Drosophila melanogaster: one gene and its partner. The protein of the gene in region 2 interacts with the protein of the main gene of each other region in a pairwise test. Each region holds a gene or a part of one and is shown on either strand. Other genes may lie near its edges. The genes, in order: Pde9 and CG13384.

What was found.
Region 1: the proteins of CG13384 (region 2) and Pde9 interact in a two-hybrid assay, tested with the Drosophila melanogaster proteins (one large-scale study listed by BioGRID).

What each region holds. Positions count from the first base shown.
Region 1 is NC_004354.4:12,894,068-12,899,046, forward strand, and holds the start of Pde9 (phosphodiesterase 9), read right to left. Parts: upstream 3,261-4,979; 5' UTR 2,651-3,260; intron 1-2,650. Other genes in the region: CG32650 (uncharacterized protein), read right to left, coding at 3,480-4,520; Coq8 (coenzyme Q8), read right to left, coding at 4,836-4,979. UniProt on the Drosophila melanogaster protein: Specifically hydrolyzes the second messenger cGMP, which is a key regulator of many important physiological processes.
Region 2 is NT_033779.5:8,382,511-8,389,322, forward strand, and holds CG13384 (uncharacterized protein), read left to right. Parts: upstream 1-1,944; 5' UTR 1,945-2,030; exon of another isoform or gene 2,031-2,189; 5' UTR 2,190-2,349; coding exon 2,350-2,385; exon of another isoform or gene 2,386-2,587; intron 2,588-3,628; exon of another isoform or gene 3,629-3,706; coding exon 3,707-3,875; intron 3,876-3,964; coding exon of another isoform or gene 3,965-3,976; coding exon 3,977-4,868; intron 4,869-5,148; coding exon 5,149-5,321; intron 5,322-5,380; coding exon 5,381-5,625; 3' UTR 5,626-6,294; downstream 6,295-6,812. Other genes in the region: CG13392 (uncharacterized protein), read right to left, coding at 1-13, 79-197; Rcd4 (reduction in Cnn dots 4), read left to right, coding at 446-760, 825-1,109; Dad1 (defender against apoptotic cell death 1), read right to left, coding at 1,164-1,502; CG42819 (uncharacterized protein), read right to left, coding at 6,319-6,759.

The DNA of each region.
Region 1 (4,979 bases), on a different chromosome or scaffold from region 2:
CAACGAATCTGCCCAAATTTGGAGTATCTTATCTGCCATCGCATTCCACACAGCCACTTGGCGAACGATCGCTTTTTTTGGGGAGGAAAAGACTTGAGACTTAAGAACTGGGAACTGAGATTTCAGATATGTGAAGCATTCGGCACGTGGGTGACCGGCAAATGCGGAAGCGGCACTTGACGAAGGCCATATATATGCGTTCGTAAAAGTATCTGAAACTGAATCTGAATTTCAATCTCAATCTGAATCTCAATCTCGATCTGAATGTGGATCAGTCAGTATCTGTATCTGTAGCGGTGCGCATCTGCAGTGCCTCATAATCATTCAAGTGGGTGTCTTCAACATGAATGAAATGGAATTGGAATTGGAATTGGAAGAGCAGCACAGTGGGGCCACAAAAAAATCTCGTTTAGTCACTTTGCGAAAAGCACAAAACAGAACCGCACAGAACAGCACCGACACAAATGCAGATACAAATGTGGATGTATCTTCGCAACAGCATCAGTATCTGAATCTGTATCTGTATCTGTAACTGTGTGCCTGCAGAGCAATCGAATCAAGAGACAAACTGGGTAATTGGTTCATTATGTAGTAGAAGCCAACGACATCCGCTCGTTAATGTAAATTACACAATAGTTTCGAATCATTCCTGTTTTTTTTTTTCGTCTGCACTTAATTTTTCATTCCACTTTTCTTCAGCCACTTGTTGGCGAGAAAAACCTATGAAAAGGTGTGTATTTTTTAAAATCGATAAATATTTGCAATATCGAAATTATCGAAGATTATCATTTCTCTTTCTATTGTGAATAAACACTATAAATATAATATGAAATTGTGGAAAGCTTAAGAGACTAGAGCGATAAGCGGTAGACATAAACAATTAGATCAATAGGATGTCATATTACCCAAAAATATTTCAAATTCGGTAGACATAAGCAATAACGATAACATCAAATTTCCTCAGAAACCGAAACCTCGCGGATTTTGCTTACTAAGAAGATACATATTCTACATATGTATGAAAACCAACAAGTGAGCGAAATGCGAAGGGGTTCCAAATTTATTTGTCTAGTGATCAAAAATTTTCCCGGAGGTCTAAACCCATAATTTCCCCTCCATAATCCCGCCCGATGTAAACACAGTCTGGAAACTTTCCATTAGTCCGGGGGATCGGAGATAACAGCGAAATAATGCGCAGAGATCGCAGAAAATTGGAAATATAATAGGGATTTCGATTTTGATTTATTCATATATCTTTGTTATTTTTTTTTTTTTATTGTTTGCTTGGAAACAATGGAAACTTTGGATGAGGTTCTACTGTAGTCTAAATTTATTAAACAATTATTGGACATTTTTGTGCTGTCTGTTCTGTATTTTATTTATTATTGTGCCCCCCTAAAGAAAAGAGAGTCCAGTGATCGCGAAAGAGAGGCGACGAAAGAGACGCTGATGAAGAGAGGGAGGGAGAGCGGGCTGATAAAGCAACAGGAGCAACAACAACAGCAAACAAATACAATGCGAATTATCAGTGGACTGCGTGATATGATTATCAAAAGGTTCCCCATTGCTGTTGTTGCTGCAGCGGCTGCTGGCAACGGCATTTCTCAGCATATATATATATATGTATATGTACCAAGAAATATATATATTTATATAGGTATGTACATACACATATAGCCAACACACGCACATTCCAATACATGCGAACTTGGAACACTTTATTCATCCAATCCATATATAACTAAGACGTTTCCAACGTGCTTTGATAGCGCCAAAAAAAAAAAAAAAACAGACAACAAACAACACATTTTTCAAGAAATATGTAAACACCTGGTGATGAAAGAATGCTAACTGAAATTTATGCTAAATAAATGTCAATGGGAAAAAGTAGAAGTAACTAAAACTAGCTAATTAATGATTATTCCAAGCAAATACCACGATCAACTATCTATTGTTTAGTTTGGTTGAAAGTAGTTTAGTAGATTTTGAAAACTGTCACATTAAATCAACAGAGCTGGGAAAGTTCTTATCAAATTTTTGCTTCCTAGGATGAGAGTTGGATGTAATACCATCTATATAGTGTCTTGTTTAATTAGTAAGCACTATCAGCTCCTAAGAAATTCGTTATCTTAACATTTTTTCCATATTTTCCAGTATTTGTTCGTTTTTCCACGATAAATCTGCTGCATTTAGAACTGAGGCACAAACTTAAAAGCTAACCATAAAACAAATCACATTTAAAATAATGCCTGCTTTCAATATTCCACATTCTTAGTGCATATATAAATCCTTCATGTTCTTATCTGAGAGTAATGTTACGCTAGAAATGATCTTGAAGTTAGATTTTCCTAATTCTCACACCGATTAAAGATTACCAAAGCAAACTTTAATACCCGATAATTTGATATGTAAACTTTCGATAAATCACATTTAGCGAGTGATATTTTCGATAGATGTATGCTCGGTTCGATAACAGTGCCCGGTATGCTGGGGGTTATTAACCCCAGAAATCCCCGTTTGGCTGCGCCACTGTGCACACACACACACACACCCACTGAAAGCGAGCAACTCCCACAGTTCACTTTCATTGATAAACTCGGCTCTTCGCTCTTCTTCTTCCCCCATGCAAATCCAATTGTCTGCTACTTACTTTATTTATTTTTTATTTTTTTTTCCTTCGTGGTGTGTGTGACATCAATCAGCATCACATCGTTGTTGTTGCTGCTGCTGTTTTATTTATTTATTTCTTTTTTTCTCTGTTGCTCGACAATTGAAGCTAACCAACATTAAACTATAACTTCCTCACAAGCACACTGAACGCACACACACGCACAAGCTGCACGATCTTGCACTCTCAACAAAAACCAAAAAAATAAAAAAAATAACGAATTTCATACACTTTTTATCACGCCGATTGTAGTAAAATATTAATTAAAAAACAGGTGGCGCGCACAAGTACATTTGAGATAAACGCGGGCTTACAGATATTCAAATAAATGCAATTTATAGAACGATTTCTTAGTTTATAAAACAAAAATAAAGAGAAAAACAACCGTTTTTTTTGTAACCGTTGCAGTTCGATCACTTGCACTTTTTCACTCAATTAAGCTAGCATTTGAGCACCGGCAGCACATTTCCTGTGTCATTCCCGTTATTTTGGCAACTAATTCGGTTTGTTGATTAAAAGCGATCGCGATAAGCGTACGCCGTTTGTAAAGTTTGTAAACCAACTGAAAATTAACCGTAATCCGCGCGCGCAGCCTTCGCGAAATGAAACGCGACGGTTTGCAGTGTGACCGGCTAGCCGATCGGCGGGAAATGCGCTTTCGCTATCAGTGTGACCGTGCAGCTCGCTGCTAACTGCCTGTTAAGCAGCAATGTTAGCTAACAGTGCGCTTGAATAAAAAAAAAACTGTTGCTTATTTTGAATTTTTTGTTTATTATTACTTTAAATGAGCTAAACAATTGGCAAACAAACACTAATAGATTTTGGGCGGATTGTGCAGCATGCGCAACATTTTGCCGTACCAGGTCTTCGCCTCGGGCGGCACAACCACCGGCAGCTCGAGCAATTCGCCGCGGGAGAACTTGACGGTCCGATAGGAACGACGCTGCCAGGCCTTGGCCTTCACCCAGACGGGCCTGCCGGGATGCTCCTCGGCGCGATTGCTATCGGCATGCCCGGCGCCAGACGTGCCGAGGCTACCGATTTTGCGGGACATAACCGATGGCCTTGAGAAGCCCAGCGGTGCCAGGCCGAGCTCCAGATCCCGGACGCGGGCCAACAGACTTCGCGTTGAGCCCAGGCACATCTCGTGGGCCACCGTCATCTCGTCGAGTGCCTGCCGCTTGATCTCTGCATACTCCAAGCGAGACTGCGTGCGCTCGAGTATCTTCTTGTAGGCCTCCTTCAGGTGGCGACCCATCTTGAAGAGCTCACGCCAGCTGGCGTACAAGTCACGCGCGTAGCGATAGCGCTGCAGGCACTTGCCCGCCTCCAGTTGCTTGGTCAGGTGGAAGGAGAGGACGCGCTCGTGGTCCTGCCGACACCCGACCAGCTCCTTCGTCTGCCGTTGGAACAGACGATCCAGTGCCGAGATGCGTGCTCTGCCCAGTTCCGAGCAGCGAACGAGATCCGCCAGTTGCCTGCGAATGCGCAGGTTATTCCATTGCAGTTCTCGCAAGGCCGCCTCCCTGCTACCGTGCATGATCATCCAGCGCGAGTCCTCCGGTTCCAGGCCCTTGGCCAACGCCTCCTGTTCCTCCTCCCAACACGATCTGCCGCCGTCGCGCTCGTGAAAATCGATGGCCAACTGGGCCTGTATTTCGTCCAGCGTTCGATTCATGGCGCCAATCTCACGCTTCATTTGCGGCCAGGCTATCTCCTCGATTTGCTCCGGCGACTGCTCCTCCAACTCCTCGCTCCCATCGGATACGGATCCGTCGATGTCCGAGACGCAATCATGGTGAAACAACTCGTTCTTCCTCTTCATGCTTTGGGTCTTCACAAATGTCTTCATGTTTTTTGCATTAGATACAATGTATATATATTTTTTTTGTGTAGTGTTTTATTGTTGGGGTTTTTAACTAAAATGTGTGTGTGTGTGTGTTAGCTGTTGGGGATTGCTCAAAACCTACTTGTTTCCAATTCAATTGACAACTAACCCTGACCCAGTCAGTTAAGGATAAACACGTTAGTTGGGAAATTAACATATGTAATCTTGCAGCGAATCGCATTTACAAATTAAGCGCACTTATGGTTTACAACTGGGATTGGATTGGACAAAAAAAAAAAAAAAGAAAATGGTCAAGGGAAGAGGGGTGAGCTGTGCTCACTAGTCCTTGAACTTCCCCAGAACGATGTCCTTGTAGAAGGGCACGCAATTCATGCGCACATTCAGACGCGCGCACAGCAGGAAAATGCCCGATAGCTTGCGATGAATGGAGTATATCTCCTCGGGCGGCGGGCACAATCGATG
Region 2 (6,812 bases):
GCGCAACGACCATCTACAAGGCAATATTTTGATCGCTTGTTAGGTAAGCGGCAACTTTAGAAGGCTTCATGCACTCACACTTCGCCTATTTTGTCCCAGGAAGTTATAATCTTCCATTGGTATTTGAGGGCCTGATCCTCTGTTATGACCACCGCGTCCCTGGGCAGTTCGTCGGGCTTGGCGCGTGATAATGCCATTTTTCATTAATTTATCAAAATATTTGGTTCTCAGAAAACAGCTGCTTATGGGTCAGTGTTGTATAAGTCCCGAACCGGTGTGAGAATGTTGAATACAGTGGGTATCGGAAAAAGGTCTCGGAAAGTAACGCGAAATTTACAGATGATGACATATCAGTGCTGTTAAATGGTCAAATCAGTGTTGCGTGCTGTTTTATATCAGAGGCGAATTGAAGTGTACTACCATAATTCTTGCGAGTCTGCTTAAAATGCCTCACAAACGTAGGAACCGAGTACATGCGAACCAAAGGAATTTCACAGCGCGACGCGTTTCTGTGGCCAAACTGTCGTCTGCACCGCCGAATGTGCTCGTCGAATCCTGCAACGGTTCTCATGCGGATAACAGTTCGCCGGACAGTCCGAAAGCCAAAGAAGGTGCAATGACCAACGGGAAAAACCCGGAGATCAAGTTAGCCGTGCCCAAATGCAACACCACCGTGCGCAAGCAGAACGAGGCCCATATCATATCCAACATTAAGCTGGATATGAACCTTAATAAGGATTCTAACTTTATCGCCCCACAGGTTAATTAAGGTTTTCAATTATGTATACTGTTTTATAATAACATATTCTGTAACTACCCCAAAGATCACCAAAAAGATGAACTTCGCTCCGAATCGTGTTGTATTCGGGGTCCTGGTGCCTCTCAATGTCAACGATTCTGTGCTGGTGCCGCACAATAGAAAACCGGATGCCTTAAAGCACACATCGAAAGAATCGGAATCATGCAAGGCCATAAGCGAGCCCCAGCTAGCCGACTATGCGGAGAAAGTAGATCCCATGATCATGGCTGTTAAGGAACCAGTACTCCACTTGGATTGGGAACCAGGACCCTTCGATTTTTTCGGCGCATATAGGAGAACATACAATTAGAGTTACATTTTATTTATAAATATATCCGAGAATATCAGAATGTTTGTAGCTTTGTTAACCGATGAAGTTCATGACCACCAGATGAAGGATCACATGAGCGAAGATGAAGTCGGCGAAACCGCGTTCCGGCGAAATGCCGGCAAACACGCTCTTGTTCTGGGGATTGGCCTGCAGGCGTAGGCACACTGCCAGGACGAAACAGCTGACGGTGCTGATGAAACCAGATAGGAAGGAGTTGAACGGGAAGGTTCCAACCAGGCAGCAGTAAACAAACTGGATGATGCCGGTGAGCAGAATGTAGCCGAGGTAGATGTCCACCAGCTTCAGTTTCTTGGGCGTATTCTGCACGTAGTCGTTGTAGAACTTGGAAATGACGCTCGACAGCTCCACCATTTTGCTATTTTATGTGATATTTGTCCGGATATTTAAGGATAAAGGCGCTTTTTAACAAATTAATCGCAGACACGTCACAAATTGGGAGAGAACTCAAAAGTAGGACCGTTCGTCTAGTTTGAAAATAATACTGATAGCTTTATCGATGAAGGCGCAAGTACAGTGGGCACTCAATACCTTGAAGTTTAATAAAGAATAGGTTTATATATTAAAAAATTTTTGTGTTTTAGTTAAAACTAAAACATAACAAATCTTATAGATTAATGACCGCTATCGATTCTTTTTTAATGTTGCATATGTTTGAGAGGTAATGTTATAATTTAATTTATATAAAAAGAAACACAAATTCTTTTTCTAACCCGTTAATAAAGTTTTCTATCCGATTTTCACTGTACCGCCAAATCAGCGAATTAATCGATAGATACGGAAAGTCATCCTCGATTGTTGTGTCTTGCTTTGCTTCTTCAGTGCTTGTTTTGGGGTGAGAGGCAATTGTTATTGCGAGTTGAGTTCGAAGAAATTAGTAACGTATGTATTTAAAACACCACAAAAGGGTATGATGTGCGTTGCAACGTTACAATAAACATTTGCTATCCAATGTGCAACAGTGATGCAGCGTGTTATCAAACTTCTTTTATATGAACACAACATGATTCATTGCTGATGTTTTCTCTGTTCGATTCGCAGACTGGGAGAAGATAATTGCCATAGCCTCCTCCCACCACGCACCCCAAACTCAGCAATAAATGAACTTTATAATTTGATTGGCTCTTCGCATTGATAAACCAGCGTTGTGACCTTCGCAGGAGCACCCATTTCATTGTCAGTGTCAAGCGGGAAAAAATCAATGGAGGACCTGACACCTTTGACCAACCTTCAACAGGTAGAGCAGAGCCAGACACATCTGGTCATCAAATTGCGCATGCTGAATGGGTTTATTTTGATTTCGTATCCGTACATCTGTTAATTATGTTTTTGTTTCAGTTTTAGTTTCAACATTATCATTTTTCCAACTGCCCAAAAGACGCGTTCCTACAACTCAACCATCTCCAGTTGAGATACATCTAATTTCCGATACAGTCAGTGTAAGTGAAAAAGATATAGTTATGTATCTTTGTAATGTCGCACCTTGTTGTGCAAGTCTGTGATGCAAGATAAAACGAAAATAAGTTCGTAATGCTTTGTTTGATTTCTTTATGGCTCTCAAATAAAGATTTCTTGACATAAGTCGGCTGCTTGTCTGGATTTAGGTAGACTTTACGATTTAAGCACTATTAATTCCTCGCTAAATAAATAGCACACATTCTATGACCATGTAGCACTTATATGTAGGTCTTCTAAAAGCAAGCACACTGGAATTATTAAATCTATTTTTTAAAGCTAGTGTTAAAGTAAGAAAAGCATGATTACTTGTCAAAATGGCAATATAACCAGAATACTGCATGCATGATACATAAATATGCAAATGATATCAACGCTAGAATGATTCGAACCTATGTATCATTTATGTATTATGTATATCTCTCATTATAATTTGTATTTGTTAAGTTAACACTTTGATTTCACGTTTATTTGCGAAAACTTTCTTCTCGCCTTATATGTTCATTCAAGAAATTTATCAGTAGTATTAAATATCACAATAATGCAACTTGAGTAATTCCGTTTGCTGACTCAAGTCAATAATCTGAATATAATGGGTGGATATTTGATTCACCGTCTGGATACACATTATATAATTGTGATTTATGGTATGCTCGCTGGCTTCGCAGGAGATATGCGGGTCTTATCTCTACGTATGGATTGTTTTTCGCGACTTGTTGGTGTTTTCGACTTTAAAGCTATACTCTAGTGGGAGACGAACTCGTCAATATGATATCGACTTCCGAAGCACGCGTAATCAGACCCATATGCAAAGTAATGAAATGATCACATTAATCGTACTTTGAGTCAAGTCCAAGGCTAACTTGGACTATCAGCATGGTCGAAATTTTCCACTCTACTCCGCCCGGCACGCGATCACTGTCCACTATGCAACGCACTATCTGCACCTCCTATTGTTATAAGCGTGGAAAACTGAGTCAGCGGAAAATTTCCGAGGCGAAAAGCGGGCGTCTCAAGTTGCACTCTTAGTTTGTTTCGTGCAGCCGGAGAGGGCGCATCATAAAATCCAACGCTCTTAGTTACTTACCTACCCCTGTTTCCAGATTCCCGAGGGAGCGCCGCGCAAGAAAAAGATGACGGAACGACAGCCGTTGCTCCTCCAGAGCGATGCCTCTGACTACGAGGGCAGTCGAGGATCGGCAGCACGACCCGTGCGCAGCTCTCCGCCGGACAACACTCTCGTCAACGTGCACAGCGAGGACAGCTTAGCAGGTGAGTTTGTGACCAGGTCAAAATATGTTATTACAAAGTAAATTGAGGTATGACGAGAAACTTATAATTTTTTCGCTTTTTTCTGTGAGTGCACGCAGCAGCCTCTGGATCGGGAGATGATGAAATTGGATCGACGGATAAGTCCTATAACCCCACCCATCATCGCGACCTGGAGCATCCGACGTCCAACTTCGATACCCTGGTTCATCTGCTGAAGGGCAACATTGGTACGGGCATTCTGGCAATGCCGGATGCCTTTAAGAACGCCGGACTTTATGTGGGACTCTTTGGCACAATGATCATGGGAGCCATCTGCACTCACTGCATGCACATGCTGGTCAACTGCTCCCACGAGCTGTGCCGGAGATTCCAGCAGCCATCGTTAGATTTCTCGGAGGTGGCATACTGCAGTTTTGAGTCGGGACCTTTGGGACTAAGACGATACTCCATGTTGGCTCGACGAATTGTTACCACGTTCTTGTTTATCACGCAAATCGGTTTCTGCTGCGTCTACTTCCTCTTTGTGGCGTTGAATATCAAGGACGTTATGGATCACTACTACAAGATGCCTGTGCAGATTTACCTGCTTATAATGCTTGGACCCATGATCCTGTTGAATCTGGTGCGGAATCTGAAGTATTTGACACCCGTTTCGCTGGTTGCCGCCCTGCTCACAGTTGCCGGACTGGCCATTACATTCTCGTACATGCTGGTGGATCTGCCGGATGTGCACACGGTCAAGCCGGTGGCCACTTGGGCGACGTTGCCTCTATATTTTGGAACCGCCATCTACGCGTTCGAGGGAATTGGTGTTGTCCTGCCCTTGGAGAACAATATGCGCACACCCGAGGACTTTGGCGGCACCACAGGTGTCCTCAACACGGGCATGGTGATCGTGGCCTGCTTGTACACAGCTGTCGGGTTCTTCGGCTACCTGAAGTACGGCGAACACGTGGAGGGCAGCATTACCCTAAATCTGCCGCAGGGCGACACGTAAGTCCTTAAACTTTCCATTGCTAATCGGTTTTAGTTGTAAGACAGAGGGATTTAATATTTCTCATGCTGATATACATAATCTACATGCTCTTGCTATTTGAAAAGCGCTATTCGAAATATTGATAGTTCAGATAGTTAAGATCGTTATTAACTTTACTGTCTAAATAATTTTAAATTACATGATAATAAAGCTAGCAAAAGGTGTTATAACAATTTTTAATGATATTCCCAGACTGCAATACTAATATTTTAATTGTCTTCCTCTTTACATATTTAGACTTTCCCAGTTGGTGCGGATTTCAATGGCGGTGGCCATCTTCCTCTCGTATACGCTTCAGTTTTATGTGCCTGTGAACATCGTGGAGCCCTTTGTGCGAAGTCATTTCGATACAACGAGGGCCAAGGATTTGTCAGCAACTGTGCTGCGAGTTGTTCTGGTCACTTTTACCTGTACGCATAGATAGTCAATATTTAAAATGTTCCAATTATCATCGTATTTTATTTCACAGTCCTGCTGGCCACCTGCATTCCCAATCTAGGCTCCATTATCTCGCTGGTAGGAGCCGTCAGCAGCTCAGCTTTGGCCCTAATTGCACCACCCATAATTGAAGTTATTACATTTTACAACGTTGGCTATGGACGCTTCAATTGGATGCTATGGAAGGACGTTTTAATCCTGATCTTTGGACTCTGTGGCTTTGTGTTTGGCACCTGGGCCAGCTTAGCTCAAATCCTGAACGACAGAACCCACTGAGTTTAATCGAAATAAGCGAATCGAAAACAGAACCTGGCTAGTTCTGCCTACAAATGTGTGCGAATTTATGACGAAGGCTTTATGTAGTTACACTCAGACTACGAATATGTTTACCATTAGTTGTTTACCATTTCCCAACTGGTATCGGTCCAGTCCAGTGGCGGTGCTTTAGTGTGATTAATTTATATTTATGGCAAATTAGTTGCATTTTTTTTTGTTGTTATCAGCCAGCTGCAATCGTACCAGACAATAACTAGCATTTTAAGTAGAAAGTTTTTCAACATTTGTTCAGTTTGTCAGTTGGAGATTATTTCTGTGTTAACTCGATGACCGCACAATGCCAAACGTGATTTTACGTAGTATTCTTAACTAAATTATTATTTAGCTTTTACTATGTAGTCTAGGTCGGGGCAGATCATTCCAAAGCAACTGCTAAGAATTTCCCAAAAACCGAAATTAGCTAATGTTATCTGCATACTTTTATCGTTCGATTATTTGTAATTATACAACTATAAATACATATATATGTATACCCCTAGCCGTACTGGTCCCGAAATGGGACCTTCGATAAAGTTTTGTAAATACATCAATTCGGTGTATCAACAAATGTTCTTTAATAGTTCAATCGGTAACAAAGACAATAATTAATATAATGTTTATAAAAATCAGTACAATTGATGTTATTTAGTATTCCTACCACAGGGCTTGAATGGTCACTGGGAATGGGATTCCATTGGAATTAGCCACTCTCAATGGACTCGATGAGAGCAGAATCAGTCCTTGAGCTCGTGGACCGTTCCTAATCTGCTTGGTCAGGCGAGCGGGTGCCTGCTGGACAGGCTGAACTTCCTCTGCATCCGGATCGGGTGTAAAGTCTTGCGGCTCCTCATCGCTGGGTAGCTGCTCAACTGCATCGGTAGGCGGTGGGCCGTAGGTCAGATCCGGTGGTCCATATGTCTGATCCGGAACTCCTTCCTCGAATGGCACCTCCGGCTTCAGTTCGTCGGCGGATGGATAGGGTGCTGCCTGCTGTTTCTGAAGTTGCTTTGCCAGCCGTGCTGGCTGAGCTGAAACCGCTCCAAGTGCCAGGACCAGAACCAGCAAGGAACAGGATGACTTCACGTAGCTGCGCATATTGGCTTTGACGCAAGAGATACACGAACTTATGAGGGAACCGTTGTTGATTG